Alligator mississippiensis: one gene and its partners. The protein of the gene in region 4 interacts with the protein of the main gene of each other region in a pairwise test. Links are inferred from orthologs where the notes say so. Each region holds a gene or a part of one and is shown on either strand. Other genes may lie near its edges.

Region 1 (7,795 bases), about 4.3 Mb from region 4:
CCCACCAGAGCCTCCCACCCTCATGCCACCCCTCCACATATACACCTGGACCCCAACCCCCCACGCTGTGGGATGCTGGGGGACTCACCTTCGGCTATGGCGGGGGGCAAAGCTGGGAGCTGCCGCTTGTCTGCAAGGAGGAGACAGTAGTGAGGGTGCGGGGCCCCATCCTGGGCCTGATTCTGGGCCTGATCCTGGCAGGTCAGGGCCAGGGTCCGGGTCTAGATCTGGGGTGAGACTCACAGGGGTTAGGGGATACGTACCAAGCCGCTGCTGACGCTTCTTCATCTTCTCATCCACCAGGGCCCGGAAGACATCAGCTTCACCCTCATGAGCAAAGTTCAGCCCAGCCTGGCACTCCTGGGGGGCAGGGGCAGTGCATGGGGGGAATGACATGGTCCTGGCCCCCCGGCTGGTCCCATTCTGCCCAGCACCAGGGCATCCGTGTGGGGAAGAGTGCAATACCACACTCCAACCCCCACCCTTAGCCAGCAGAGGACCCAGGCATTCAGGCTTCAGCTCCAGCCTACCCCCCAGACCCACTCCTCCTCCTAGAACGGATTGGGAAGTCAGGTGTCCAGGCTCCCAGCCTCTGCTCCCCCCCAACCCTTTCCTGAGAACCCACGTGTTCAAGATCCAATCCCTCCAAGACCTGCCCCCTCCTAGAACTGGGATAAGAACTCAGGCATCTGGGCTCCCAGCTCCATCCTGCCCCCCTCCAGAACTGGGATGTGACCCAGGCATCCAGGTGGGGACCCAGGCATCCAGAGATGCTCACGTCAGCCGGGAAGGTGTGGAAGAATGCAGTGGCAGCAATGTAGGTCATCTGGGCATAGAGCTCCTGCTCCCACAGCAGCTGTGACCCCTACGTGGATAGACAGACGGATGGACTTAGTCTGGATACTTGGGTTCCCTGGCTTGCGTTGTGGTTGTGGGGAGGGGTGGGGAGGCTGGGAGCCTGGATGTCTGGGCTCCCTGTCTGTTTCAAAGGGTGGTTGGGGGGAGACCCAGAAGACTGAGTTCCTTGCCTATCCTAGGGGTCAAGGTTTGAGGTCAGGGAGGGCAGGGGGAGGCAGTCCCAGGCTCCTGGATGTCTAGGTTCTCAGCCCATGCTAAAGATTGAAGTGGTGAGGGGCTGGAGTTCCAGATGCTTGGGTTCCCTGTGTTTCCTAGGGGTTAGGGACTGGGGCTATAGGCCCAGACACCTGAGTTCTTGGCCTGTGCTAGAGGTTGTGGCTGATCCGGATCCCAGATGCCTGGGTTCTCTTCCCACCCTAAGGACTGGAGGGAGGAGTCTAGGGGGCCAGATAACTGGGTTCTCTACCCATACTAGGGGCTTGGGCAAGTGGGGGTCTGGGTCCTGGACGCTTGGGTTTTACATCTAGACTAGAGGGTCAGGGTTGAGGTCGGGGGGTGGGGGTTTGGGGTCCCAGATTCCTGGGTACCCTGTCAATATAAGGGGTCAGGGTTGGGGTCAGGGAAGGTGGGGGCTGGGGAGGATGTCCCAGAGATGGGGTCCCACAGTAACCTGCAGGTCATAGAGGCGGATGAAATAGGAGCGCCGCGGGTTGTCCTTGACGAAGCAAACGACACCACAGCCCTGCTTGGCCCAGCCCCGGGCCCCAGGTGGCAGCGCCAGGAAGAGCTGAGCCACCGACGTAGCCAGGGTCTGAGGGTGGGGGAGGCCACAGGGGGTGAGCATTAGACCTGCAGCCAGCCCCAATCCTGTGGTGCCCTTCACCCCTGACCCGCACCCTCCCAGCCCCAACAGTGTCCCTCACTACTGACCTGCAGCCCCCATAGTGGTACCCAGTAACTCCATAGTGGTGCCTCTCACTCCTGACCCTCAGCCCCCACAATGGCACTCCTTACTCCCTACCCGCAGCCCATCCCCTCATGCCCCTCACTCCTGACTTGTACCCCGCCCAGTTGTGTCCGTCACTCCCAACCCTCAGCCCTGTGGTGCCTCTCACTCCCAACCCACAGCCCCCCGCCCCTTCCATGGTGCCTCTCACTTCTAACCCACAGACCCCCCAGGCCTCACCAGGCATTTGCGACCCAGGAGCTCGAACACCTGCTGGTTCTCATGGGGCTGGAGGAGACAGGAGGGGACATGGTCCTGGGGTCCTGGGGCCCCGATACGGCCCCCACGGCTCATTGTGGCTCTAGCCTTGGCCCTAGCTGGTCTTCGGGTCCCTCTGGGCCTGGCCGCACCCCAGGGAACTTCCGCAGGAAGCTCTGAAACCACCAGGCAGCGCAGGGGGAAGTGACATGCATAGAATAAATGAACAGAGGACTCCGGCTCTGGTGCTACTGCGAGGGCTTCAATTTCTTCAACCACGGCACACACATCAGGGACTGCCTGTTGGGAACAGATGGCATCCACCTCACACCAAAGAGGAAGAAGCTTTTCTTGGTTAGAATGGCATACCTTCTGGATAGGGCTTTAAACTGAGATGGCCGGGAGATGGGCTATCAACTATTAGTACAAGTCTGAGAAATTACAATCTTGAAGCCAGAATCCCAGGGTACAATAGGAAGCATTCTCCGACACCGGCCAATGGATAGGTTATTCCACAGCTCACCAGGTGTCACAGGCAAACTGAGTTATGTTAAGGCTTTTTAGCCATAGTCCAGGCCTTCCCAGAGCTAAGCAGCAAAATTGAACACAACGCCTTCTGTGGCATTGGGAGAGGCGAGTGCTGTGCTTGGGCACTAGGTGAGCAAGACACAAGAGTTTCCCTATAAGGAATATATCTGACACAGTGCCAGGGGATTGGTGAATCACGTAAAAAGTGCTTGGCACAGAGCCAGGGGATTGGACTATTTGGAATGAAACAATTAAAAAGTAATGAACAAACAAAGGAATATGTATGTTTTGTGTTGTATCTCTGGGGAGGCAGAAGCAACCAGAAACTAAGAGCCCACACACCCAGTGGAGGACCTGAGTCCTGGTACCCCTGAGGGTCACTGCTGTAGCATCTAAGGAGCCACTTGCCAGGTTGTATTATGGGGAGAAAACCTGTAATATTGTCTAGGGCAGGGGTGTCCAACCTTTTTGAATGTGGGGCCGGATCATGAACTTTTTATCACCCAGTGGGCCGGCAAGCCATATTCAAACACCCTCTGTCCTGGGCCAAAGAGACCCTGCCTGTGTAGCCCTACTGCACCTGCCTGTTATGGCAAGGTTCATGGTAGCTGCTGGTGGGCAGGGGCAGGAGGGACCCATTCTGCATCCAGCCAGCTACTGCCCCAAAGACAGAAGGGGAGAAATAAATAGCTCCACATCTCCATCCCCCGAGCAGCGCAGCCCCACGAGCCGGCGCTGCCTGAGGGGGGCTGGAGCGAGATGGCCGCTGCACCGCAGCCCCTTACCCGCCTGCCCGTGCGGCCCTGCTCACCATGGTGCCTGGCCGCCTGCAGCCTCAGTGGTCTCAGTGCTGCAAGCCTGGAGCGCGGGGTTCGGCAAACACTGGCTCCCACCACCTCGCCCCGCAGAGGTCACGCCACGACCCTGCCTGCCGAGGCCCCCCATGCTGGCTTCCCATGTGCTGCTGGGGACGGGAGGAGGCCGGCCAGGTTGGCACCAGCCAGCAGAAGCAGCAGCAGAGCCATGTGCCGCTTGGGACGGGACGAGCCCAGCCAGAGCAGCAGGGGCTCAGCTGCATTTTCCCCCTGCCTGCGCCAGTCAGTCCCAAGCGGCACACGGCTTTGCTGGAGCTTCTGCTGGCTGGAGCTGACCTGGCCGGCCTTCTCCCGTCCCCAGCAGCACGGGGGAATCTGGCTTCAGCCGCATGCTGCTCTGGATGGGACAGACCCACCCGGGTCAGCACCAGCCAGCAGAGGCAGCAGTGGAGCCATGTGCCACTCGGGACTGACTGGCGCAGGAAGGGGGAAAGTGCAGCTGAGCCCCTGCTGCTCCGGCTGGGCTCATCCTGTCCTGAAAGGCACATGGCTACTCCTCTTCCCACATGCACCGCGTCAGCAATGTCAAGCTGACACGGTGCATGTGGGAACCTTGTCCCTTCCCTAGCCCTTCAGCAGCCATTAGGAAGCTGCTGAGGTGACAGGGGAGGGACAAGGAGCAGGAAAAAAGTAAACAGTGTTTACTTTCGTTTCCCATTGCAGCACTGTGGGCCTCAGAAAATGCCTTGGCAGGGCCGCATGGTGGCCCATGGGCCGTGTTGGACCATCCTGGTCTAGGGATTACTATTAAAGTTCAATTGATACCACATTGGAAAAGTTGCAGTGTAATCCTTGGAGGGCTCTGGCAAAAAGAAATCCTAGTAGTAACACCAGGAATCCTAGGGCTTCTAATGGCAGGCTTAGGAGTCTGTACGCAAACACCAGAAGCATGGGAAACAAGCAGAAGGAACTGGCCCTCCTGCTAACCAACAACAAGCAATAAGATCTCATAGTGATTATGGAGACCTGGTGGGACTCCACCTATGACTGGACCACAGGTATATGACAAAAACTCCATCCCAGCCCCCTCTTTTTGGACCGTCTGTTTTCCCCTTCTCTCTCTCTCTCTTTCTGCCCATGTGTCTATCCACTTGGTTGCCTAGGGGATCCCTTGGGCAGGGATCAGCAACCCCTGCCACATGTGCCGAGCGTGGCACACAAGGCCATTTTGCTTGGCAGGCCGTGGCCAGCCCCGACTCCGGGAAGCTGCTGCCAGCGACGAGCCTGGGTTGGTCCCAGCAGAACCTGCAGCCTCCCAGCTCCCTGCTGGGAGCAGCCCGGAATCCCGGCTGGCAACAGCTCCCCAGAGCTGGGGCCGGCTGCAGCCAGAACGCTCCAAACAGCTGTGCCGGGCTCTGAGCAGCTCCGACACCAGCTCTGCACCGGCGCGTGCAGGGGCGCCTCGGAGCGGGCGGTGGGGGCGGGGCCTGAGGTAGAGCAGCTCCGGTCTCTTCCGCGTTCCCCACATGGAGGCAATGAGCTTGGCACAGCTGTTTGGAGCCTGCCGGCTGTATCCGGCCCCAACTCCAGGTAGCTGTTGCCAGCCCGGATCCCGAGCTGCTCCCAGCAGGTAGCTGGGATACTGCAAGCCCTGCTGGGAGCAGCCCGGGGTCCAGTAGCTGCACAGAGCCGGGGTAGCTGCTGGCAGCCAGAGAGCCCAGGCTGGGGGCAGGGGCTTTGGGGGCGGGGGGGGGTACAAGAGGCGGTAGGACTGGGGGGAAGGGGCTTTGGGGCAAGGGGCAGCAGGACTGGGGGGAAGGGGCAGTAGGGCTGAGGGACAGGGGCTTTGGGTAGGGAGCAAGGGGCAGCAGGGCTGAGGGACAGGGGCTTTGGGTGGGGGCAAGGGGCTGCGGGGCAGAGGCTTTGGGTGGGGGGCAAGGGGCAGCAGGGCTGGGGGCCGGGGGCTTTGTGTGGGGGGCAAGGGGCACAAGCAAGGCATCCTGCCATGTACCCCGTGCCCTCATTTTGTTTTTCTGCCATGCCGGCACTCTGGCACCTTCCGAGATCGGCATTATGGTGTTTTTCAGCACTCCGGACAAAAAATGTTGCCTACCCCTGCCCTAGGGAAAGGGAGAGATTCCCTCTCCCTGGCCAGGCTATTATTAAACTTCCCACCTTTGACCTGGGAGGGCAGTCCTAAGATAGTGGTCCCTTCTCAAGGTGAGGGCTGATGTTACTCAAACTCACTGGTCAGCATCAGTGATGCTCAGAAAATACCTGGTTGGGTCCAGGTGGTGAGGTCAGAAAGGTTATAAATAGGGTCCCTCCATCTTAGGACATAGAGACATCTTTTGGTCGCTGAATCAAGCTGTGTACCTCCAGAATCCTCTGGATGTTGCTGTGAGTAACTGATCTGAACGGGAGCCAGTAACTTAGACCTAAGCATTCTAGACGCATACTGAACGGGCCAACGAGCCCCTTATACTGTTTTGCTCAAGGCTGTTTTGTTTCAAAATTCCTTTTGGTTTGTATTCCTTCCCTGTGCCCTCCCTCTCCAATCAATAAAGCTATGTATCATAGCAAGCCTGACTGTAAATGTTTGAGAAGGATTGGGCATGCCTTTTTGCTCCCTTTGCTTGGCTGATTAAGGGAAGCTACTGTGGAAGAAATCAAACTTCGCGTTGTGGTTGTATTAGAATTGGCAGAGCCATCTAGGTTTATTTAAAGCTATATAAGTGATCACAGGGAGAGTTCTCAAAGGAGCTCTGACCTCTACAAATTTACAAGCGTATTTATACTTTAGACAGCGAGAAAAGATGCAGGATTCAGACAAAGCAACCTTGAGAGAAACAGAGAGATGTTGATCATTTGTTTGTCACATGCAAGCAGTTTACTTATTTAGAAAAAAACACTATGTTTTGGGAACAGTTATCAGCTTCTGGTTCGGCGGAAAGGAGGAGGTTAACATCTGCACACAGACAAAACAAGGCATGAAGGTTTTTCCTTATCTTAGAACATTATAAAACACATAGCATCAGCATCTTTTTCTCTTCTCTTTCTCTCTCTTCTTAGTCAAGTAAGTAAGTAAATGGGGAACAAGCAGGATGAACTAGCGCTCCTGCTTGCACTAAACACCTATGACTTAGTGGGGCTAACAGAAACCTGGTGGGATTCATCCCATGACTGGGCGGTACATATTGAGGGCTATAGATTGTACAGAAAGGACAGGTTGGGGAAGAAAGGGGGGGGTGGGGGTTGCACTTTATGTCAGTGAGCAATATACATCAACCCTCATCAAGACAGAATCCGAGGTTGAGGAAGTAGAAGGATTGTGGGTTAGGCTACATGGGGGGCAAGGAGAAAGGGCTTTGGTGGTAGGGGTCTGCTACAGACCCCCACACCAAGGAGAAGAAATAGATGCGGGTCTCCTGAGGCAACTCTCGGAGACCATAAAAGCTAAAGAGGCGGTAGTCATGGGGGACCTAAACTACCTGGACATCTGCTGGGAGACTCAGACAGCAAAGTCCCACTGCTCACGCAGGTTTCTAACCTGTGTACAGGACCTCCATCTGACACAGGAGGTACATGGTCCCACTATGGGGAATGCTATACTGGATCTGGTATTGGCAACAGGGGATGATATGGTAGGGGACCTCCAGATCGGTAGCCATTTGGGAGACAGTGATCACCTAATAATAGAATTCAACATAAGACGTCGAGTGGGTAAGGTAAATAGTAGGGTGAAAGTGCTAGACTTTAGGAAAGCTGATCTCAATGAACTCAGGCGATTAGTCAAGGACGCACTGCAGAGTAGGAGTTTTGAAGGGATGGGAGCCCAAGAAGGGTGGCTGTGCCTTAAGGAAACGATCCTTCGGGCACAAAGCAAGACGATCCCTGAGTGAGACAAAAGAGGGAAAGGGGCCAGGAGGCTTCCATGGCTGACCAGAGAAATCCAGGGCAGCCTAAGGGCCAAAAGGGGAGCACATAAAAAGTGGAAGCAAGGTGAGATCACTAAAGATGAATATACCTCCTCTGCTCGTGCTTGTAGGGAGGCAGTTAGACGGGCCAAAGCTACCATGGAGCTGAGGATGGCAACCCAAGTAAAAGACAACAAGAAATTGTTTTTTAGATATATTGGGAGTAAAAGGAAGGCCCAGGGAGGAATAGGACCCCTGATAAATGGGCAGAAACAATTGGTGACAGACAGGGGGGACAAGGCTGAACTCCTCAACGAGTTCTTTGCTTCAGTGTTCCTAAGTGAGGGACACGACAAGTCTCTCACTGGGGTTGTAGAGAGGCAGCAGCAAGGCGCCAGACTTCCATATGTAGATCCTGAGATGGTGCAGAGTCACTTGGAAGAACTGGATGCCTTTAAGTTGGCAGGCCCAGA
Region 2 (7,479 bases), on a different chromosome or scaffold from region 4:
GAGTCCCATGACAGACTGGGCCACTAATGTATTTTCATGAACAGATCATATCAGGATCAAACAAGATGCTTTAAGAGATTAATAGGGACTCTTAGAGTTTATCATTTCCCACCCACAGTACAAGGCAATATGTTCAACATCAAGTAATTTCATAGCCAATGTACCTTAATCACGCCTTTCCAAAATGCAACAAATTTTTACTTTGCCATACTAGATAGACTGCATATAGTACAGCTGCAACACTCAAGGTGTTTTATCTTAGTAAAAAATTATAATAAATGATTTAGTACTTCCACAGATCTCAGTCCCCATCTTTTAATATTTCAAAATAGCAAAGTATAAGAGGCCTAGTCAAACCTCTAAGATACAATTTAGTGCAGGTCCTTTCCTTTTTGATGTCTTTGTGTAACAAGGCATTTAACAGAATTTGCAGATTTGCTGGAATTTGACAGGGCTTCTCTGTGAGTGCTTATGCTATGGCCTTGAACTTGCAAACTCTAGGCTACAAACTGTCCCTTAGCACGTGTGCCACCACGTTAGAAGAGAAGAGAGATGAATGGAGGCAGAAATGCTGGGTTTTATTCCAGTTTCTGACACTGGCCCAAGTGATACTTCAGAATTATTCTAGCAACCTTGCTGTGTCACAATTTCACCTAGCATGTCAAATATAAAGCAAAAATACCCACTGAAGTAAGTACTTCAATAATCTCACATGAAAAAATGACATGGAATGATTACCTCAGTTAAGTAACTGTAGGCTTTAAAATATGAAGATCTCATGAAGAGCTTATTAATAAAGAACGGATCCAATCACGATCACAAAAAGACAAGAGAAAAACTCACTACTAACAATCTGAGCCCAGTCCCGATGTACATTTTTAACAGATGCCAACCTCTGAGATGTGGTTAACTTTATTTTAGTTGCTCTCTGGCTTTCCAGCTTTACCTGACCAAGGGAACAACTAGACAATCTGCAAGGCATAAATTCATACTAGCATAAAAGGGAAATACAGGCAGAGCCATCTTGGGGGGAAGCGGGGCTGAATCGGGGCAACTGCCCTGGCCCCCACGCTTTGAGGGACCATGCGGAGCTGGGCCAGCTTCACGTCCAGCCACTCGCTGCCACCCCCGTGTCCAGGCCCTGCACAGGCTGATTTCCCCCAGGCCTCACTATGGTTGTCTCTGAATACAGGTAAATGTGTATCACACATAAACAAAGTAATACAGAACATTTAAAGCTTACATGCAGAATTTTTAGGTTACAAACCAACAAGGGAAACATTTCTTTTAAGAGACCATAACTTAACATTAAGTTTTACAGGGAAGCACTACTGAGTAGGTATTCTACCTTAGTAGAAGTAAAGAAAGCCCTCTCCTGCTTCTTTTTCAGCAGCCTCAGGTCCAAAGTCTAATACCACTCTTGAAAAGATTTCAGCAGGTTTAATGAAACAATACCTTTGTTTTGACACTTCCCTCGTTCTCAGCTCTCAGTAGGTCAGAAGAGGATCATTCATAAAACAAACAATCTAGAGTCTCATCTCAGCTTGCACTGGTTTAACTAGGTTGCTTTAAAAAGATGATTCTTTGTATCCAGGCACTTTACACTGTTTAAGAGTAGCACTGTTTCAGTGTAGTTTAATCACGTGCAACCAAGTTAACCTAAAACAAAATAAGGCACTCAAAACTGAATAAGAGTAACTACACATAGAAGTACGTGAGTTTAATGAAATTTATTTTAAAAGAGAAGAAAGAAAAGAAACACGCAGACTTGCTCAGGCCTCTCCAAATTTCAAATGAATAAAATTAGCACTCTGGTCAGCCCCGTTCCCACATTTCCCACATCCCCCAGCTTCTCAACACAGAGAACTGCCGGCGAGCGAGCGAGCGACAGCAATGTGAGAAGCAATCATAGCTGTTGACTCTGTCCGTCCCCAAGAGGAGATTGCAATCTAGCGACTGAATTCCTTTCCTCCAAATCACTCACAGAACCATAAAACCTCTTTCCAGTGTTCACTCGTAGTTGGAGGGCATGTTTGAGGGAACACTACTGTGAAATTTTAAAATTTAGAATGCAATCAAGGGGCTAAGCTGCAAACAAAATACAGACAGTTACTCCATCCGCTCCGACAGTCATATGCATTCATGCACAACTCGCACAGTGCGCTTCTTGTATCACCGCTCCAGCAGGCATTTCACTGACACATTCATTAATCCAACAACAAACAGATTGATGAAGTTGAGGCGCAAACACAGGAAGCCACTGAAACCACACTAGGGCCAGATTAGATGTGGGATCCCTCTCCCACCCCTACCCCTCCTCTCGCGCCCTCCCCGCACTTGCGGCAGATCCGGTGCAAGCACATTTCTTGAAACAGGTGCTCCAACACAAGCCGAGGGTCAAAAGCCGACCCGACGGTAACCAGTGCCACCAGAGAGATGGACTGGGGCCTTTGGTGGATTTCCCCAGCAGGCCACCACTTCCGGTTCGGCCGGAGACACCTCCCATCACCGCCTTGGTCTCAGCCGCGTCCCCCGCGGGAAACACCGCGGTGCAGACGAGCGCAGCGGCCGCCGAGCCCCCCTTCACACGTGCCGGCGCGAGGCGCAGGAAGGGCCCGAGCAGCAACAGGCTCCTCGCACCTGCGCGCCCGACGGAGCAGCGCCCCGGGCCCCGGCCCGGCCCGGCACGGCACGAACGGCACGCGTGCGGGCGGGCAGGCAGGGCCCTCGGCCCCGCCCCCGCGACACAACCCCATCGCCCCCGAGCCCGTCTCGGCCGTGCCAAAGCGCCCGGAGCGGCCTCGGGCCGGGGCGGCAAGAGCCGCGCAGCGCGGGGCGGGGCGGGGCTGCAGTGCGCGAGCAGGTGCGTGGGTCTGTCTCTCCCGCCTCCCACGGAGCAGCCGCCTCACCCGCGGGGGTCGGCGTCCCGGTCCGGGTCCCGCTCCAGCGCGAAGGCAGCTGCGGCTCCGGCTGCCGCACCCGCCCCGCGGAGTCAGGACCAGGGCAGGCGGAGTCACCGCTTCCCCCGTCACGTGACGGGGGAGGGGCGGGGCCTCGCGGGGCCCCAAGAGGGCCACGAGCCCCGCCCCCCGGCGGGCCGTTGCCTCCCCGCACCCCGCGCGCCCCCTGTGGCGGTTGGCGGTGCTGTGGCGAGGGCAGACGCGCGGCCGCGCACAACCGCTGCAGCCTCTCACGCGCGACAGCGCCGCCCCCAGCTCCTGCGTGTGCAATACAAGGAGCAAATCAGCTCTGCCTCGTTGTTAGAAGTGCCCCTTCCTCACGACACCCGGAGCCCAGATAACCCGGGCCACGGGCCTGAGGACAGCGATGCCCTGATGGCGACGTGTATCTGAGGGGTCCTGAGGGGAAAGAAATGTAGGGGGCAAGGACAAGAGAAATCTGCAGGAAGGAGGGAGCAGCTAGGCAGGAGCAATGTGCAGTGCCAGTGAAGTGAAACCTTTCATACGCAACTCTCCGCTGCCTCCCTTACCTGTCGTAAAGAGGATGAAGGGTGTACGCTCTTCTTCCCCTCCTGCTTTTAAGGCAAAAGGAAAGGAGTTTTTTCTTTGCCGGTTAATTTTTAACGATTGAAAATGTGAAAACAGACTTAGGATACAAAATTCAGGCTGATATTTTTAGATTTAAAAAAAAAGCTTTGCTTTCCAATAATTTTGCTACACATAAGTTAACAGTCACAGTTAGTTTGAACATGTTGCGATTCATCTAATGACATGTCTAACACATGCACAAAAGTATCTGAATATCCAGCACAGCGATGTGATTATTCTCCTTACGGCCAGAGTAAGCCGGGGTGCTGCAGGATATGGGCTGGTGATTCAGTGGGGAAGCGGTGATTCACCGCCCCGTGAGTCAGCCCCAAGAGCAGCAGAGCGATAAGTTGGACAGGTCGCTGAAGATGCCAGGTGATGCTAAGTAATTTTGAGGCCCAGACTCTGAACAGTCAGGAAAGAGTCCTTTGGGATCAGGTAGACTTTCCTAAACAGTTTCTAGTTACTACTGTATATTTGCCCTATCCATATTTCTCTGTAATTTCAATACATTTAATCACCCACTTAAAGACGTGTATATCACAGCTGTGCTGATGCCAAATGGTTGCCATATAGACACCTCATGTGACTATTTCAAGAACAGGGGAAGTGACACAAAGCCTACACAGCCAGCTAATGGCCCTTAATTTGCACATGTAGCTCCCACCGCCAGCCTGCTGTCCCAAGTCTGGGAAGCCCTTTGTGATGAAATGTGCTATGTGAACTTAAGTGGAGCTATTAGGAAGGTATATGAATCTGATACAAGGCTTTGTGATGAGGTCCAGCAACACAACAGCCAACATCCAGAGAAATAAAATACACTGGCTGTTTTATAATCCATTGGTTGTTTGTGTTCATTTGGAATTACTGGAATTCTGATCAGAAAAATAAACCATGAAAAAGCAGGGAAAGCATTACTTTCTTGTGTTTCTTCTACTTATTCTTCTACTTATTTTTGTCTGTTTTATTATTATTGGTATTACAGTATCATTTGCATGCCCAGCCAAGATTAAGGTGCATGCCCAGCCATGAAGATGCCAGTTACTGTACTTAAAGCTGTGATAAGAGTACAAACCTTTCCCAATGTATATAAGTATTGGCAAGTTAATGGCAGGAATAAAGAGAAGCTAAATATGAGGAAAAGGCTGGACACTCAGGCACAGAATGATTACATCGTTAGCTCAAAATAACACAGTGAGGCTGTGACAAAGCCAGAAACTGAACCCAGACAACCTGAGTCCCAGCAATGGTTCTTGACCACAGTATTTCCTCCTGCCGCCTTTCCAATTCCATTTCAGAGCACTTTGTAACTAGATATTGCATGTCCTCTCTTTTTCTCTCCTTACACTAAAAGTATTTTCTTATATTTCTGAAATGTGCACTGCCAGCAACCTAACAATGTTTCTGGAGTGGAACCTTAGAGGAATAGCAACTGACTGAAAACCCCTTCAAGGATGTGAAAAGAAACCAGACTGACAACAACTAATGCATGTTTATATCCTGGTGTAGTTACTTTTGTACTACACAGGATTTTAGAATAAAATAATGAATATGATATTTTTTCCTAAGTTGGTATGATTTACAGATCAAAAGAAAATGAAGATGCTGTGTTGTACATAGAATGAGTGGGTGGTGGAGAAAAATACTCTTCCAGGAATCTTCAGATTATTACAAAATTTTAAATTCCTGTATCCGTACCACTGGAGCTGTTCTCATCTTATATCTCATAAGCTGAACATGGATATGTACCTTTTCTATTTACTCTATTGAAAACAATGCGAGTCTTTTAACGTTGGGTACCTGGTACCTGACCTATACATTAAATAAAAATATACAACCTAGGTTCAAATGCTGGAAAAAGCAGGGTCAACTAGCTATATATCATAGTCCTATAAACTGGAATCTCCAGGTCTCATTTTAATTTTGTTTTCCTGTTCTCTGTAATTCCTCTGATTGAACCCCTGCTCCCTCTTGTTAAGCAGTCCACTATCTTATAACTTAATTGCAGTGATTCTTTAAGAATGGTTGTGTTCTGATTTGTTTAAAAACTCTGTGTATTTCAGATTTGACATTAACATTTCACTGTTCATAATGTAGAACTGATGGTTGGTATCTAATAGGAATCTGCTGTTTGAAATGTGCATATGCTACTAATTCCAAGCTGTTAATTCATTATTTAGATTGTGATCTTCCCCTAACAGAACAGACTGATCTCACTGTGAATTACAGGTTTCCCTCCCTTTGTGCTGTACACGCGTTCAGAAAACAGCACGTAACTCAAATTTTCATAAAGGGAACCCACTTTACAACGTAACAAATAGGGCTACGTTCCAAGACCTCAACTGTACTGATCCCCAGACCCATTTCTACCACTTTTACAAGACAGTTTTGGTACTCACCAACAGCGGGCAGTACACACAAGCACAGGGCACTATCATAATGGGGACGGCAACTACAGAAACACATGTTGCAGACGAGAGAGGAGCACAGATCCAAACAGGAGACTGTATTGGTGCGCATCACTTCCACAATGCACTGCACAAAGCAGCTGACTGTGGGTTTCCACCACACCGATTGGATAAGAGTGAATTTACCTCTCATATAACTAATTTTTGGTATAAAAAGGGTCATCGCAGAAAAGCAAATTCGCACGTACAGAATCTGCATACAGCGAGGGACAGCTGTATGCAGAATCTTTGTTTGGAGAGTGATGGAAAAGAAAAATACCAAATGTATAGAAAACATACTGAACAAGAAAGCAAAAAAAATCTGCTTTAATCAGAAATTATTTCTCAAAAACTCAGTGAAGATATGTGTTTCATTATTAAGCTAAAGAGGACAGTTTGCCAGACTCAAAGTTCCAGAGGAGTTCTTTTACTTTATAACAATTAATAGAAATGAACGAAGGTTACATTTATTTACCTGTAGATGTTATGAGGCTGAATATTTGTAAGTTTCTCTGTAAAATTCCTCCAGTGTATAACAGTGCAAATATGATTACTGTGCTTTACAACACAGTGTCTGGCAAATTCACAATCACCTGATTATCTGCCTGAATTAAATGGGGGGAAAAAATACCATAAAACAGCTTTTAGTCTAACCAAAACAGATACCTCAATTTAGTGCTTTTCAGAAACAAGTACCTGAATTATCCCCAAAACATTAAAAAAGTTCTAGCCCAGCATAAATCTGTAATTTTCATGTTAGGCAATTTCAGCATCATGTAGTTGTGAATCATTGCACAGAATTAAAATGTATAAATGTACTACTAGATGGTTTGCTGATGGAATCTTTATGACAAATAATAGGTAAAAAGGACATTTCTTTGTGCTACACTGATCTAAAAACTTTGTTCTAGCACTGATGTACAAAGCTAAAACTTCAGTCAAATCAGTCAGCTATGCACAACTAGTTTTATCTTAATCTACGCAATTGCTCAAGCTAGCAGACAAAACATACTGAAGGCAAAATTATTCCTTTAAATTAGGAATGTCTCCTCCTTGGAATAAATTTATAAGGAAAGGATTGTCAGTAATAGAGCCATAACATAAAGTTTTCTCAGTGTCTTGTTTCTGTCTCCTGGAGAGCTAAAGAAAGCCACCCTTAGGTCACAAAAGTTTCTGAAAAAAAGTTTGTTTTTGTTTAATAGATAAAGACCTGTGTGTTAATGCAACATTAATGAGCAGGAACAAGTGAAATATAAAAAGTACTGCAGAACTGTATACAAACAGAAAATAAGGTAAACATTTTAGTTTAAAATAAAAGTTTCTTCATGCTACCAGTTCTTTTACCAATTCATGGAATACAAGATTGTAAGAGGTGTATGAGTAAGCTCTAGTAGCAGAGATGGATCTTCTTCATAGTGGTGCTGTCACCTCAACCCAGCTTTCCCTGGTCAGACAAGAGAAAGCCTCATAAGGTGTTCATGGTT
Region 3 (6,966 bases), on a different chromosome or scaffold from region 4:
GGACCAGTGTTCTTATCCCTTCTATCATTTATCCACAGCAAATAATGCTGACTATACTGCCCCTCTAACAGAAGAAGGAACTGAACACGGATATAACAAGGTACAAAGCTAGTCACAAAGAGAAGGAAGGAAACCAAATTAAGTGGAATGCAATAAGCAGCCAGAACCGTTTGGGGACAAGGAAAATAAGGATCATGCATTGAAGGAAGTTCAGCAGATGAAGTGTGCCTCCTGAAGATGATCAGGGAGCCAAAGTACTGTAAAGGGAAGAAAGACTAAGGACAGGAGCAAGAGAAAGCAACAAATGCAAGTGGAAGAGAGATAAAAGTAGGGAAACCCCTCTGAAAAAGGAAATGAGTTCCTGATTATCTAACTGTGCCCAGGCTACACAAAGGGCTTAGGTTGCTGCCTGCAATGACTTGTTTTAATATAAGTATTCAACTCTGACTAGAGTGCAGTATGGTAAGTTCTCTCTAGTGGCTTTGGTTGTGGTCTCCAAGGCACTAATTAGTTCTGGTAAAATGTAACTGGGTGCAGAAACTCATACTAGCAGGACTAAAGTATTGATTGAAGCAGCATTGGGATTCAGAGCTTGCACCTGAATGTCATGCAAGTTTAGTTGTTTAAAAAAAAAACAGACAAAAAAACAAAAACAAAACCAGCCACCTGGCTTTTTAGGGAACCCAACAAATAGGATGATGCATATTCACCTTGAAAATTCCAATGAATATATCCCTCTGAACTGTTCACAAACAAAGTAAAGCAAACACCAAGAGCTTGAAAGTAAAACTGTCTCCAGGCATTTTCACTGTACAAGCTGAAAGGCAGAAGCAAGCAATATACTGTACATAGCAAAACAATTCTGTAACGTTTAATAACCTACATCATTAATACCACAGGGAAATACTCTTACTGCTGGGCAAATGACCAGTTCTGCTCTGAACCTGGACTCATTCCATGCGCCCTCTGTCCTCAGCTATATAGAGAGATATGTACAAAGACCTAAGAGAGCAGGAGCTGCTTCTTGCTGAGGAACTGTGGGGGGCCAATTCTGTGGCTCTGCCAAGCAACAGCTGAAGGACCCCTCTCTGTGCCTCAGTTCCCTAGAACTTGGCTAATAATCCTCCCTTTCTTCAATCCTTTGCCTACTTTGCCTGTTGAGAGACCAAGCAAGGAAAGGATTTAGCACAATGAAGTCCTACTCTTGGCTACTCTTGCAGCATAGAGACATACACAAAAGAGTAAGTTGAAAGAGCAATGAAAACCTAACCCCAGCTTAACTGCATCACATTTAACCTACATAAGGTTCCAAAAACAGTACTATACTTCCTCTGAACACCCTTCCCATTTCCTGCCCTAGTTCAAACTTGTAGACATTAAGAAGTTACCAGCAGTCTTTTTGACAATCATTTTCCTATTTTAATTAGTATCTCTGTCCCCTGTGGTGCTGTCTGAAAGACTTAGGAAGCCAAGAGTAATTGGCTGACTATACAAGAGAGAGGACAAAACTGAGTATATGAATATCATCAGAACAGCTCCTTAACAGTTACAGCTCTTATAATTAACTTGCAATTATAGCAGGTAAGACATTTAGAAGTGCAAATTTTAAGTCAGAACCATGTCTTAAGTCAACAGGCAGCATATCAACAGATATTTAGACTCACACAAATACACACTTTCTATTTAGGAAATAAATTTAGTGTTAGAAGCTGCCTGTGTCATTTTGTAAATACCCACAAATCCCTGCACCTGCACTGATTTCCTATGGCTGTCCATTATCAGCAGCAACAGTGGATGATATTTACATTAAAGAACCGGCAAGCTGTTTAAGATCTTAATACTCATTGCTTGTTCTGTTGGATTTTGGAAAAATCTATGCTCTCAGAAGCATTTTGCAGCATGAATATGGGAGCATTATCTTCCTCACCTGCAACAAAATCAATTAATGTTCTCAGAAATGGATTCAGGTCTTTAGCATCACAAAGTGCACCAATATAAGACTTCTACTCTTGATAACCTGCCAGGGTTCAGTGCATACCAGCACAGTGTAAGTATGCCACACAAAGAAAAGAAAAAGGAAAAAGTGTACAGGAAAGATGTGGGATTAAAGATTGTCGCATCTATTGTTTAGGCTTTTTTTCTAAGCTGACTTTCTCCTGCGGAAGCTCCCTACTTTCCACCGACTTTCTCCCTTCACAGGCAGCACCACAGAGGGTTGTTGACAATGAGAAGGAAAAGACAAGCACATTGGGACAAGCAAAGCTGGACTTCAAACACATGAGAGTCGGTTGACAGAGGACCGAGTTATTAAAGCCAGGCCAAGAAGCGTGAGCTGCCCCTAGGCCACTGCCTGCCAGGAGCCACCCTCCTCACTGAGCAAGTGAAACACCATCCCACAAGCAGGATGACAGTGCTGTACCCCCAGACAGAGGAGGGGCAGCCCCGCTCAGTGACAGTCCCGGCTCTCCAGCACCCTCAACACCTGCTCGGCCCCAAGGGACATGGGAACATGGGGGAGAAGCTGCCAAACTTGTCACAGCCACGGTGGGACATAATGTGGGCGGGCGCGGGTAAGGCAGCGGCCCAAGGGAAAGCCGCCTTCTATCACGTCCCTCCAGGGCCGGGAAGCCCACGCGGGAGCCCAGCCCCCTCCCAGCAGCGCCCGCCCCGCGCCCCCTCCCACCGCGGGAGGGGCCCAGCGCCCCCCGCCCCCGCGCCGGCTCCTAGGAAGACCCCGGCCGGCCCGTACCGTGCTGGGTGAAGATGTTGAAGCCGCCCTCCGCGGCGCGCCCGGCCGCCTCCCGCCGGCGCCCAGCGGGCCTGGCCGCGCTGCTCCCCCGCAGGCCCCGCGGCGGCGGCGGCTGCTGCTGCTGCTGAGGCGGCGGCTGCTGGAGAGCGGCGCCCGGCTCCCCGACGCGGCCCACCTGCTGCCCCATCGCGCCCCGATCACATGCCGCCTCCGCGGCCCGGCCCGGCCCGGCCCGGCCCGGCCCGGCCCGGCCCGGCCCGGCGGGCGGCCTCGGCACCCCCGGCCCGGCGGCTCCCTACAGGGCTGGCCCCAGCCCCGCCCCGCCGCGCTCCGGCCTGGGAGTCACGGGCTCGCCCCCTCAACCCCCGCCGCCATCTTAACCACAGAGCTGCGGGAGAGGGGGCAGAGTGGCTCCCGCAGCCACCTCCGGTCCTCCGAGGGGGTCGGCCCCGCCCCGCCCCGCGTGTCCCCTCCTCCCCCTCCAGTCCCCAGGGCCTCGTAGAGCGGTTCGCTGCAGACCTGCGGAGCAGGATCCTCGGGGAACGAGCTCATCTCCTCAGATGCTGTGCAAGCGCCTGAGGAAGTGACCCGGGCTCACCCGCGCTCCTGCTCTCTCTATCTGATGTCCTGAGTCTGGCCGGTGCAAATCTACCTACCCTGCCTTCTGCCTCACCTCAGGCTGACAGGGCTGAGCACCTCTAGGGTTGCCAACCCCGCAGGATTGCCCCGGAGTCTCCAGGAAATAGATACAGTCTCCAGGAGACTGCTGAGAGGTACCGGAGAGATCAATGATAGGGCATTCATTCAAATAAATTAAACGTTGAGTCCAATTTATACAGTAGTCCAGTGGGTTTTAAAAATGTAATAGTAATGTGCATTTGCCTTCCTGGCGTGAAGTCTATGCATCGTAATCTGTAACTGATATACGCCGGCACGTTTGCGCTGTGTCTCACAAATTTGTTGGCATTCGGGAAACCTGGAATAGATTTAAACAAGTTGGCAACCCCACCTCTCTGTCCCCAGGGCTAGGCTTTTGGAGGTGATGCCATCCCCACCCTTTTTCCAACACAGGATTTTAAGAATATAAGAGCTGCCATTCACTGCCTCAAACCATCGGCCCATCTTGCTGGGTCTCCTGCTTCACACAGGGGCAAAGAGAGGATGCTGAAAGGGGGAGTGAACTGGGTCTGGCCACGGCTTTTCCCAATGTTCCTCACACTTGCAATCTCCAGCATTTAAGGTCTAGGAAGTTCTGATCCAGAGGCTGTATCCCTAAATCCTGTGCTCAATAGCTACTGATACCCCTTTCCTCTAACACTGTGTCCAATGTTTCCTCGGGTGGGGGCAGAGGGGGGGATGTAGCCCTCTACCAGGGACTTCTTGAGCATATAGTAACAGTTCACAGAAGCAGGACATTGGCTGCCCTGGTTCCCCTTGCTTTACGAGGCTGTGGTAGGTTTGGGTGTTAGGTCTGTGTTGTGTCCGGGTTGAGGGCAGTCTTACGTAGAGTTTAAATAAGGGTTTTTATGGGATGGTTAGGATAGGGATGATCCTGCATCAGGCAGGGGGGTGGACTAGAACGGTGTTTCTCAACCCATAGGTCGTGACCCAAAAGTGGGTCGCAAGAATATAGGAAAGGGTCGCAGACAAACTTTAAAAATGGATTCTCCCTTAAAGGAGAAAAACATGGGAAACTGGGGGTATTTCCTTGCAGGTTGGCAGAGTTTCAGCCTGTAAGGGGCTGTTTGAGGCTCCCCTTGCTTCCACACACCCACTCCTACCCCACAGACTGGGGGGGCAGGAGGCAGCAGGTCAGGAGTGAGGGGCACCAGCAGGGCAAGGGGACTGTTTTCTACTCAAACTATTTATTGGGTCAGGATTGGCCATCAATGTTTACAAATGGGCCCTGGTACAAAAAAGGTTGAGAACCACTGGATTAGGTGACCTCTGGAGGTGTCTTCCAGCACTACTTCTCTTATGACTCTAATCTAGGGGTGGGCAAAATGCTGCCTGTGGGCCAGATGCGGCCCACCAGGCCATTCTATCTGGCCCATGGGGCCCCTAAAAATTTTAGAAAATTAATATTTATCTGTCCCCAGCTTCCTGTCATGTGGCCCTTGATGGCTTGCCAAAACTCAGTAAGCGACCCTCCGCGCAAAATAATTGCCCGCCCCTGCTCTAATCCCTTCTTGAATTTGGCTTCCACAACATCTGGTAGGAATGAGTCCCACACTTTTTGTATAGGAATTCATCCCCCTTCCCAGCCCCATTTTAGATAAGCAGGAACAAAAGTATGGTGGGTGTTCAAAGCCAGTCCAAATGGTGAAGGCTAGAAAAAGTTTGCCCCACACTGAGGATTGCAGAGGACTAACCAACCAGTGGCTTCTAAAACTCAGTGAGATTTTCTGCCCCTGCATGGTAACTGACATAATCACCAGTTTGGTAAAAATAGTTTTGTTAACATCAAGGCACATTAAGACAAAAACTTACATAAAAATTGCTATGTATCTGCATCAGAAAATGTTCTGATTAAAAGGATAAAACTCTTAAGTACTTAAAAGCTAAGGGAGTTCACCACTGGGAGAAAGTGCACAGAAGGTGGAGAGTTAGGGAGAGAATTAACACTTTATTAATGAAAGTTAAGAATCATAGCTTTACATGGCTTTGTAGAGACTGAAGAGAATGTAAGACCCTGCACATGGTAGCCACGTGGAGCACAGATGTCATATGTTGATGCAATCTAGAACATGCAGTTAGTCAAGCAGTTTATGTCAACCCAGGGTAAAAGGGGTGAAAATGTTTTAATCCAATGCTATGCAAAGAAAGAACAAAACCCTGTGCATGATAACCACATTGGTACAGAGTTGCAAGGTGGCAACACATTCTTAGATAATGGTTTAGCATGCAGTGAACAATTGCTAGGATGGAATAGTACAAGGCATAAAAAATGTTTGCTGGTTGATGGCATGTGTGGGATGTCTGTGTCATAAACAAACTTCCTCTGCCCCCACGTTTTGCTGCTCTCTCTTCATTTTTCACTTGGCTAAAATCTAGAGAATAGGTAATTCAGGGGCATATATTTCATCAGGGTTCAGAAGGGATCTGTATCCCCTCAAGGCTACAGGACCTGAACCTGTTCAGCCTTCACAAGAGAAGGCTGAGGGGGGACCTTGTGACCGTCTATAAACTCACTAGGGGGGACCAGAAGGGTTTGGGGGAGACCTTGTTTCCCCTAGCACCGCCCAGGATAACAAGGAATAACGGCCACAAGTTGTTGGAGAGTAGGTTTAGATTAGACATCTGTAAGAACTACTTCACAGTTAGGGCGGCTAGGATCTGGAACCAACTTCCAAGGGAAGTGGTGCTGGCTCCTATCCTGGGGGTCTTTAAGAAGCGGCTCAATGCCTACCTGGCTGGGGTCATTTGAGCCCAGTTTTCCTCCTGCCCAGGCAGGGGGTCGGACTTGAAGATCTACAAGGTCCCTTCCGACCCTACTTCTAGGAAGGCTTGTGCTCGTACCATTGGCTGCCCTGTACATGTGTCATAAATTAAACCAGTCCTCTGTTCACTGCATTAGCTCCTCACTAAATATCAACTCAAATTCAAGTTCTCTTCTTTAAAGTGTGGGACCGATATACATAAAGGTCCAGGATGCAAGTGGAAGACACACTCCTTTGACTCACTAAAATGCACGTCACAAGAAAGCACTGTAAAAAACACACTTTTAATGGAAATAGGGAAGGTAGAAGAGAAAACTGTGTAGGGCAGATGCTAATTGCATTATTTCACATCTAAAAGTCTGTGGCAGGGCACTGTTGGTGCCTGCCACTTTAAGTGCTGAGACAAGCAGCCAGCAGGTGCTTGATTGCAGCAGCCATTTTAGATCTCTGGCCACCTATATAAACAGAGCTGTTCACTACTGGTAAGTTAGGTAGAAATATTGGCTGGCTATAAGGCTGTATGTAATATCTTGGAGGTAAGGGCAGGAGCTTAAGGGGTTGGTTTTGAGGCTCCTGGTCCTGGGCATGACCTAAAAGCTGTACCCTGCTGGGGATGGGTAGCCTGCTGGGGCTCCTAGTGGTGTTGGAGTCCCCTGGAAATACCAGGCCAATTACCACCCTGGTGAAAGGTGGGGTGGGGTGCCTTAACTCCTGGCCCCTACAACACTGTGGCTAAAAGGAGGCCAGGCACAGCTATGGCCCTGTGATCCCAAGTAG
Region 4 (6,969 bases):
GGGTAGAAATACCAGCTTCTCCACTTCAGACATGTACCCTGATGGGGGATGGGAGATGATTCCTGGGTACATTGTAGGCTAGTAAATATAGAAACTGAGTTCCCAGCTCAATGAGCTGAGGTACATCCAACCCCCTCCCCACCCCCAGCAGATTCAAAAGCTGCATTCACTGGCCAGACCTTGTGATACCTTAACACCAGTCTCATGCTTTTTAAAAAGGCTTTCGTTTTAACGTACTGGGAACAGGGAGCTCTGGGGTCCTGGCTGCTGGCTAATCCCGGTCAGAGCCAGCTCCAGCTTATAAACTATTTAAAAGAAGGGTATTTTTTCTTTGCCCTTCTGTTTTTCCAAGGAGATTGTTTGCCACCCCTGATTCAACACCTTCCTCATTTCCAGGCCTAAATCTATTCTTGGCTCCCGCCACCCCTTGTCCTTCAGCTCAAAGTCCTCGCCTTCCTGCTCAAGTATTTATAGCTCCTCTGTCTCACTGCCAGGCATCTTCACTTCTTCCCCACCATTGCTCCAGCAGCCCAAAAAGGAGAGAGAGTTTGGGGTGCTAATCCCCACCTCTGCCCCAAGCATGGGATACAGTTAGGAATGACCTGGTTGCATTGACTGGGAGAGGCTCTTCTGTGCTGGTCCAGTGCCCCTTGGAGGAGAATCGTGACACTGCAACATGTATCATAGCCTGGGGTCAGGCAACAGGCAGGGGTAGGGATGGCACTGTATAGACTAACTTGGTGGGGGGGTGACCTCTTTGGCAGGGAGCCACAGAGTAATGCCAGGCCCTTCCCTGAGCACTACTCTGATCCCTTCCCATGCCCAACCAGCAGCCCTGTTTCCTGTTCCCTACCCCATTGGCTAATTTCCTTTCTGCTCCCTACCCTGGGCTCCTGGCCCCATCAGTTGCTCTACTTTCTGCTCCCTGCCCCACCTGTTGCTCTCCTTTCTGCTCCCTGCCCAGAACTTCCTGTTCCATCAGCTACTCTGCTTTCTGTTCCCTCCCTATACTCCCTGCTCCATTGGCTGCTCTGCTTTCTGCTATCTGACCTGTGCTCCCTCTACCATTGACTGATCTGCTTTCTGCACCCTAACCTATCCACCACTATGTTAGATCCCAGACTACCTCAGAAGATACCAACTCTTTGTTTCCAATCCTTTCCTGACTATAGAAAAATCCCAGAGAAATTCTTCTATAGCAAAGGCTTCATCAAACCTAGAACAGGGTGGAGTGGTTTTAATCTCATAACTAAGAGATGGACCCCTCCCCCACCTCCTACCCCTGTCACTGACTGGTGTCAGAGGAGGGGGGCATGTTCCCCCCTGACTCAAGAGGCATCAGGCACTCATGGTGGTCTGGCATTGGAGCAGGCTGCCCAGACATGTGGTGGAGTCTCCATCCCTGGCTGTGTCCAAGAGCAGGTTGGATGGACACTGGGATGCAGGTTGGATGATTTAGGATGCATCTGGTGAAGCAAGCTGATTTCATAAGTCTAGAAGGTGCATGTCTACCCTGACGTCTGGGCTAGTTTAGCTAAGGGAGATCCTGCCTGGAGCAGGGGGTTGAGCTAAATGAGACCTTGTGGGGCCCCTTCCAGCCCTGCTTTCCTGATGATCTCAGGATTTACCTGTTGATCTCTGGGCTGATCTGAAGAATGAAGACTGCCCAATAAATCTCATACCAAAGGGATCACTACGGAAATTGGCTCTGAGATCATAGAAAATTAGAGTTGGAAGGGACCTCAGGAGATCACCTTGTCCAAACCCCTGCTCAGACCAGGAACATCCTCAACTAGATCATCCCAGCCAGGGCTTTATCTAGCCGGGTCTTGAAAACCTCCAAGGATGAAGATTCCACCACCTCTCCGGGTAACCTGTTCCAGTGGTTTACTACCTCCCCTAGTGATAAAATTTTTATTAATATCTAACCTAAACTTCCCTTGCTGCAACTTTGAACTATTGCTCCCTGTTCTGTCATCCACTACCACTAAGAGTCCAGCTCCATCCTCTTTGGAGCCACCCTTCAGGTAGCTGAAGGCTTCTATCAAATCCCCTTTCAGTCTTCTCTTCTGAAGACTAAATAAACCCAGTTCCCTCAGTCTTTCCTCATAAGTCCCCCAGCCCCCTCACCATTTTCTTTTCTCTCCACTGGACTCTCTCCAATTTCCCCACATCCTTTCTGTAGCTGGGGGCCCAAAACTGAACACAGTACTCCAGATGTGGCCTCACCAGTGCTGAATTGAGGGGAATAATCACTTCCTTTGATCAGCTGGAAACACACCTACTAGTGCAGCCCAGGATGCTGTTAGCCTTCTTGGCAACTAGGACACACTGTTGGTTCATATTCAAATTATTGTCCACTATAACCTCCAGGTCCTTTTCTGCAGAGCTGCTGCCAGGCCAGTCAGCCCCCAGCCTGTCCCGGTGCATGGGATTGTTCCATCCCAGGGCAGGATTTTGCACTTGTCCTTGTTGACATGAGATTTCTTTTGGCTCAATCCTCCAATTTGTCTAGGTCACTCTGAATCCTAGCCCTAGCCTTCAGCATATCTACAACTCCCCCCAGCTTGGTGTCATCTGCCATCTTGCTGAGAGTGCACTCTACACCATCTTCCAAGTCGTTGATGAAGACACCGAACAAAATTGGCCCCAGGACCAACCCCTGGGGCATGCCACTTGATAACAGCTGCCAACTACAAATCGAGCCACTGATTACTACCCTCTGAGCCAAATGTTTGAGCCAGTTTTCTATCCACCTTACAGTCCATTCATCCAGCCCGCACTTCCTTAGCTTGCCTGCGAGAACGTTGTGAGAGACTGTATCAAAAGCCTTGCTAAAGTCAAAGTATACCACATCCACTGGTCTCCCCGCATCCACCTCATCACAAAAGGCAATCAGTTTGGTCAGGCATGACTTGCTGTTGGTGAATCCCTGCTGACTGTTCCTAATCACCTTCATCTCCTCCAAGTGCTTAGAAATGGATTCCTTGAGGATCTGCTCCATAGTTTTTCCAGGGTGCCCAGTAAGTGGCCGAAACAGCTCTTACCATATTTCTTGCATATAAATGAGCACTCTGATACCCAGCAGCTGGGCACCCAGGGGAAATCTCACACCAAAAGTATTACCAAGGGGCTGAAACTGTTCTTCCCATATTTCTCATGTATAATGAGCATTCTGATTTGCAGCAGCTGGTTTTTTGTTTTTTTTCAGGCCAGGCTGAATAAGCTGGAATGAGATACTGAGGGAAAGGCACTTGGCCACAGACTTTGGCGTAGGATGGAGGGTGATGTGTCCTTGCCGATGACTCAACCTTCAGGCTGAAGGGGCCCTGGCAAGGCAGCTCCAGGGAGGGGGTGGAAGGGAGAAGCGCCAAGTCTGGACGGTCAGCAGAGCTCCCTATTTGCACGCTGCTGTAGTGAATTATTCACCTCCAGGTCTCCTGAGGCCTCTGGCAGCCGAGATCTCCCCCCTGCCAAGAGCAGCATGTTCTTCGCTGAGGTCTGTGTGCCTGAGAGGTTTGTGCGCCTGGCGCCAGAGAGGCCCGATAGGAGCAGAACTCAGGCATCTGGACTCCCAGCCTCCCCCAACGGAAACTAAAACCCAGGCATCCAGGCTCGCAGCCTCTTGCCCCGCTGCCCCAAATGGAAATGGTGTCTGAGCACCCTTCCCCCCAGCAGCAGAGAAGACAACCCAGGCAGCGGAGGTCCCAGCCCCTCCCGCAAACAGAGCAAAAACCAGGAGTCCAGGCTCCAGCCCCTCGCTGCCCCAAGCAGAGAGACCCCAGGCACCCGCACTCCCAGCCCAGACCTGCCCCTCCCAGAGCAGAAACCCCAAGTCCTGGCCCCAGGCCCCACTTTAACTAGGTCAGGGATTCTGTGTCCACCAATGGCTGCGCAGCCTCCTTGCCCCTCCCCCCAGAAGTGGCTGCACCCAAGGGCCCCAGAGCATGCTGGGAGCTGTAGTTCCCACCTAAGCCCATGGCACACAGCATGCTGGGAAATGTAGTTCCTGCCCCAAAGTTTCACAGGAAAAATCATGTCTAGCTTCAGCCTTCCATGCTGACATGAACCCCTACAGCCCCCATTGACACCTGCCCTACTGTGCTCCTATTGGCTACCTTTCAGGGGCAGGCTCACACACAGGGCTCCACACTGATTGGTGGAAGGGCAGGGCTGAGTGCAGGGATTGGTGGAGCTGCGGGTACTTGGCTGTGTAGGTCAAAGGCAGGTGAGAGATGCACCTTATAGACTAACTAAAGATGTATAAACAGAAAAACCCAGACATCTGGACCCCAAGCCTCCTGTCCCTGTGGTTCCACCCCAGAAGCAGTCGCATTTCAATTCCAAGATTGACCTCTGCCCCCACCCCCCCCAAAACGTGCATTCTGGCCCCAAAATGCTTCATAGAAACATAAAAGTTACCTTCCCCAAGAGCTAACTTCAACCAAGGCCACTTAACTCTCAGTTGGGTCTCCCATCCCTGCTCTAACCCAACCAGACCCTGCTTAGCTTTGCAAACTCAAACAGCCCAGTTGGGGGGGGGGGGGGGGGGGGTTGTAGAGGCTGGGGTACTCCCTCAAGTTGACCTCAGATCAGCTCCAGCCCCTCCCAGAGCATAGAGGGAGGATGAGATAGGGCTGCAGGTGCCAGCTGGGGATGCAAGTCTCATTGTTGCATAGGTCTAGTCAGGTCATTTTGCCACTCTGTGTGTGCCTCAGTTTCCCCTCCCAGGGCAGGAGGGAGTGAACCTGGGGACAGCAATGCCTCCTCAAACCTGCTTCCTGGATAACCTTAATGTTCCTAAGGTACCCCCCATATGGGCCACAGGTTGGGCATTGCTATGCCAAGAAATATGGTAGTTGCTGGGCTCTCTTACCAGCATCTTCTAGCAGGTCCTGCTCTGTACCAGGGTTGGAACAAGTTGTGAGGGGCAGCTGGGATTCTCTCGCCAGCTCTAGGAGTGGGGGTAGATGCCTGGGTTCTGCCCCTGGCTCCGGGGAGTTGGGGCGGGGGGTGGTTAGAGCAGGGGCCTAGGAACCAGACACCTGGGTTCTCTCTCAGCCCTGGGAGGGGGGTGAGGTCTGGGGAGTCAGAGCAGGGATGGGCTGGGGGCCTGGATGCCTAGGTTCTCACCCAACTCTGGGAGTGCGGTCTGGGGTGTCATGGGGGGGGCTGGGAGCCCGGACACCCGAGTTCCACCATCTGTAGCCCAAGAGGACGCCTCTCCTCTGCCTTTCACCATGCAGGTCTCCCTGCTGCTTTAATCCACAGTACAAATTGAACCTCCCCTGAGTGGGGTCAGCCCCCAGGGGCAATTCACAGCCCCACCCAGATCCCTACTCCCCACCCTTGCCCCATTCCCGCCCCACAAAAAAGCCGGCACCTCACGCCCTCCTGAGGATGCTAGAGGGGAGGTGGCTGTATGGGGGGGGGGGGAAGGCTGGGGCTCAAGGGGTCTTGGTGTGGTCCATGTCCCGGCGCTTGCGCCACTGCAGCAGCTTGAGCAGGCTGAGGCTGGCCTTGAAGAGCCGGTCATGCTGGAAGATGAGGCGCTGGAAGGCAGCAAGGGGCAAGTGCCCGCTAGTGTCTGCGTGCTTCAGTGTGGCCAGCGGTGCATACAGGCTGTTGGTCTGGGACCGGAACGGCGGCGACTCTGACGTGATCACCCGAGCCGTGTGCTGGAGAGGGGAAGGAGGAGGGACCAGGGCCTGAAACCGACTGGGGCTCCGGGAACACAGATCTTCCCCAAGTGCTGGGGAAAGGGATCAGTGGGTCTGAGGCTGCTCTAACCCTGAGCATGCCCCGCCCTCCCCAGGCCAGATCCTGAACCTCCAAAGTACAGGGGGGGGGGGGAGTGGAGTCAGTGGGTCTGAGACTGAGCAAGACCCTGGATAGACGCTTCCACGGCTGGATCCTGAACCCCTGAAGTGCCATGGTGGGGGTGGGGTCTGGATCTGAAGCCTATGGCTGGATCTTGAACCCCCAAAAGGCCAAGGGAGAGGGGTAGAGACTGACCAGGCCTGAGACAGACCTATGCTCCAGCCAGACCCTGAACCCTGGGGGGTGGGCGGGGGGCGGGGATCCAGTGGGTCTGAAACTGACCAGAGCTGCAGACATACCCCCAAGTCTGGATCCAGTTCCCACCCCACCCCCAACCTTGACCCCCGCAAAGCATTGTGTTGGGGCAGGATCCCAGACTGACTAGGGCTGAGGACACACAGAGCTCCCCCCTGGCCAGGTCCTAAATCCTCAACATGCTAGGGGGGTGGGGGGGACTGGGTCTGAAACCAACTAGGGCTGCAGACATGCCCCCCCACCCTGAACCCCCAAAGTGCTGAGGGAGGAGCAAAGTCAGTGGATCTCAGATTGACCAGAGTCCCCGATACCCCCAATGGCCAGACCCCGCCTCCTGCCAGACCCTGAACCCCCAAAGTGCTGGGGGAGGGGGGGGAAGTCAGTGAAACTCTCTCCACCCCCCACAGCCAGGCACCCACAGCCGGACCCACCCCCTGAACTCCCAAAATCAGGGGAAGCAGGTCAGCAGGTCTGAACATAACAAGGACCCTGGACCCCCCCCCCCCCCCCAAGTCTGCCCTTGAACCCCCAAAACACTGGGGAGGGGGGCAGCATCCAAGTGATACTAACAAGGGCCCTGGACATGCCCCCCAGAAAAAAAAATCTTACAGCAGGACATGTTCCAGAAAGCTGCTGCAAGAAACCCCAGCTCCGGGCACCCTGAGGTGTAGATTTAGGGCCTATCCTGCTTGGGGAGACCTGGGTGATGGTCCTGCCCTCTCCCCCCATGGCTTGGAGGGGTCACAGCAGAGACATACCCGTCCACCCCCCCCCCCCCATCTTTTAGGGTGGAGGGTGCTGAGTCATGCCCAGTCTGGGTTGGCAGCCAGCACCCCAGAAAATGGAGGATTTGTGGGCAAGGGGATTTCCTACCTCGGCCACCTCTGCCGGCGA

What was found.
Region 1: the proteins of TRIP10 (region 4) and WAS interact in a two-hybrid assay, tested with the Homo sapiens proteins (2 studies listed by BioGRID). The link is inferred for Alligator mississippiensis from reciprocal best matches to the Homo sapiens genes TRIP10 and WAS.
Region 2: the proteins of TRIP10 (region 4) and ARHGAP12 interact in binary tests that used the Homo sapiens proteins (3 or more experiments, as listed by UniProt). The two-hybrid records come from large-scale screens. The link is inferred for Alligator mississippiensis from reciprocal best matches to the Homo sapiens genes TRIP10 and ARHGAP12.
Region 3: the proteins of TRIP10 (region 4) and ABL2 interact in binary tests that used the Homo sapiens proteins (3 or more experiments, as listed by UniProt). The link is inferred for Alligator mississippiensis from reciprocal best matches to the Homo sapiens genes TRIP10 and ABL2.

What each region holds. Positions count from the first base shown.
Region 1 is NC_081831.1:28,376,227-28,384,021, forward strand, and holds the start of WAS (actin nucleation-promoting factor WAS), read right to left. Parts: upstream 3,011-7,795; 5' UTR 2,159-3,010; coding exon 2,045-2,158; intron 1,670-2,044; coding exon 1,529-1,669; intron 866-1,528; coding exon 779-865; intron 361-778; coding exon 264-360; intron 131-263; coding exon 89-130; intron 1-88. UniProt on the Homo sapiens protein: Effector protein for Rho-type GTPases that regulates actin filament reorganization via its interaction with the Arp2/3 complex. Important for efficient actin polymerization. Possible regulator of lymphocyte and platelet function.
Region 2 is NC_081828.1:192,837,479-192,844,957, forward strand, and holds the start of ARHGAP12 (rho GTPase-activating protein 12), read right to left. Parts: upstream 3,019-7,479; 5' UTR 2,910-3,018; intron 2,620-2,909; exon of another isoform or gene 2,338-2,619; intron 2,293-2,337; exon of another isoform or gene 1,456-2,292; intron 1-1,455. UniProt on the Homo sapiens protein: GTPase activator for the Rho-type GTPases by converting them to an inactive GDP-bound state.
Region 3 is NC_081828.1:51,224,613-51,231,578, forward strand, and holds the start of ABL2 (tyrosine-protein kinase ABL2), read right to left. Parts: upstream 3,008-6,966; 5' UTR 2,937-3,007; coding exon 2,750-2,936; intron 1-2,749. UniProt on the Homo sapiens protein: Non-receptor tyrosine-protein kinase that plays an ABL1-overlapping role in key processes linked to cell growth and survival such as cytoskeleton remodeling in response to extracellular stimuli, cell motility and adhesion and receptor endocytosis.
Region 4 is NC_081831.1:24,056,065-24,063,033, reverse strand, and holds the start of TRIP10 (cdc42-interacting protein 4), read right to left. Parts: upstream 3,020-6,969; 5' UTR 3,005-3,019; coding exon 2,954-3,004; intron 1-2,953. Other genes in the region: retinol dehydrogenase 8, read right to left, coding at 5,448-5,678, 6,949-6,969. UniProt on the Homo sapiens protein: Required for translocation of GLUT4 to the plasma membrane in response to insulin signaling. Required to coordinate membrane tubulation with reorganization of the actin cytoskeleton during endocytosis.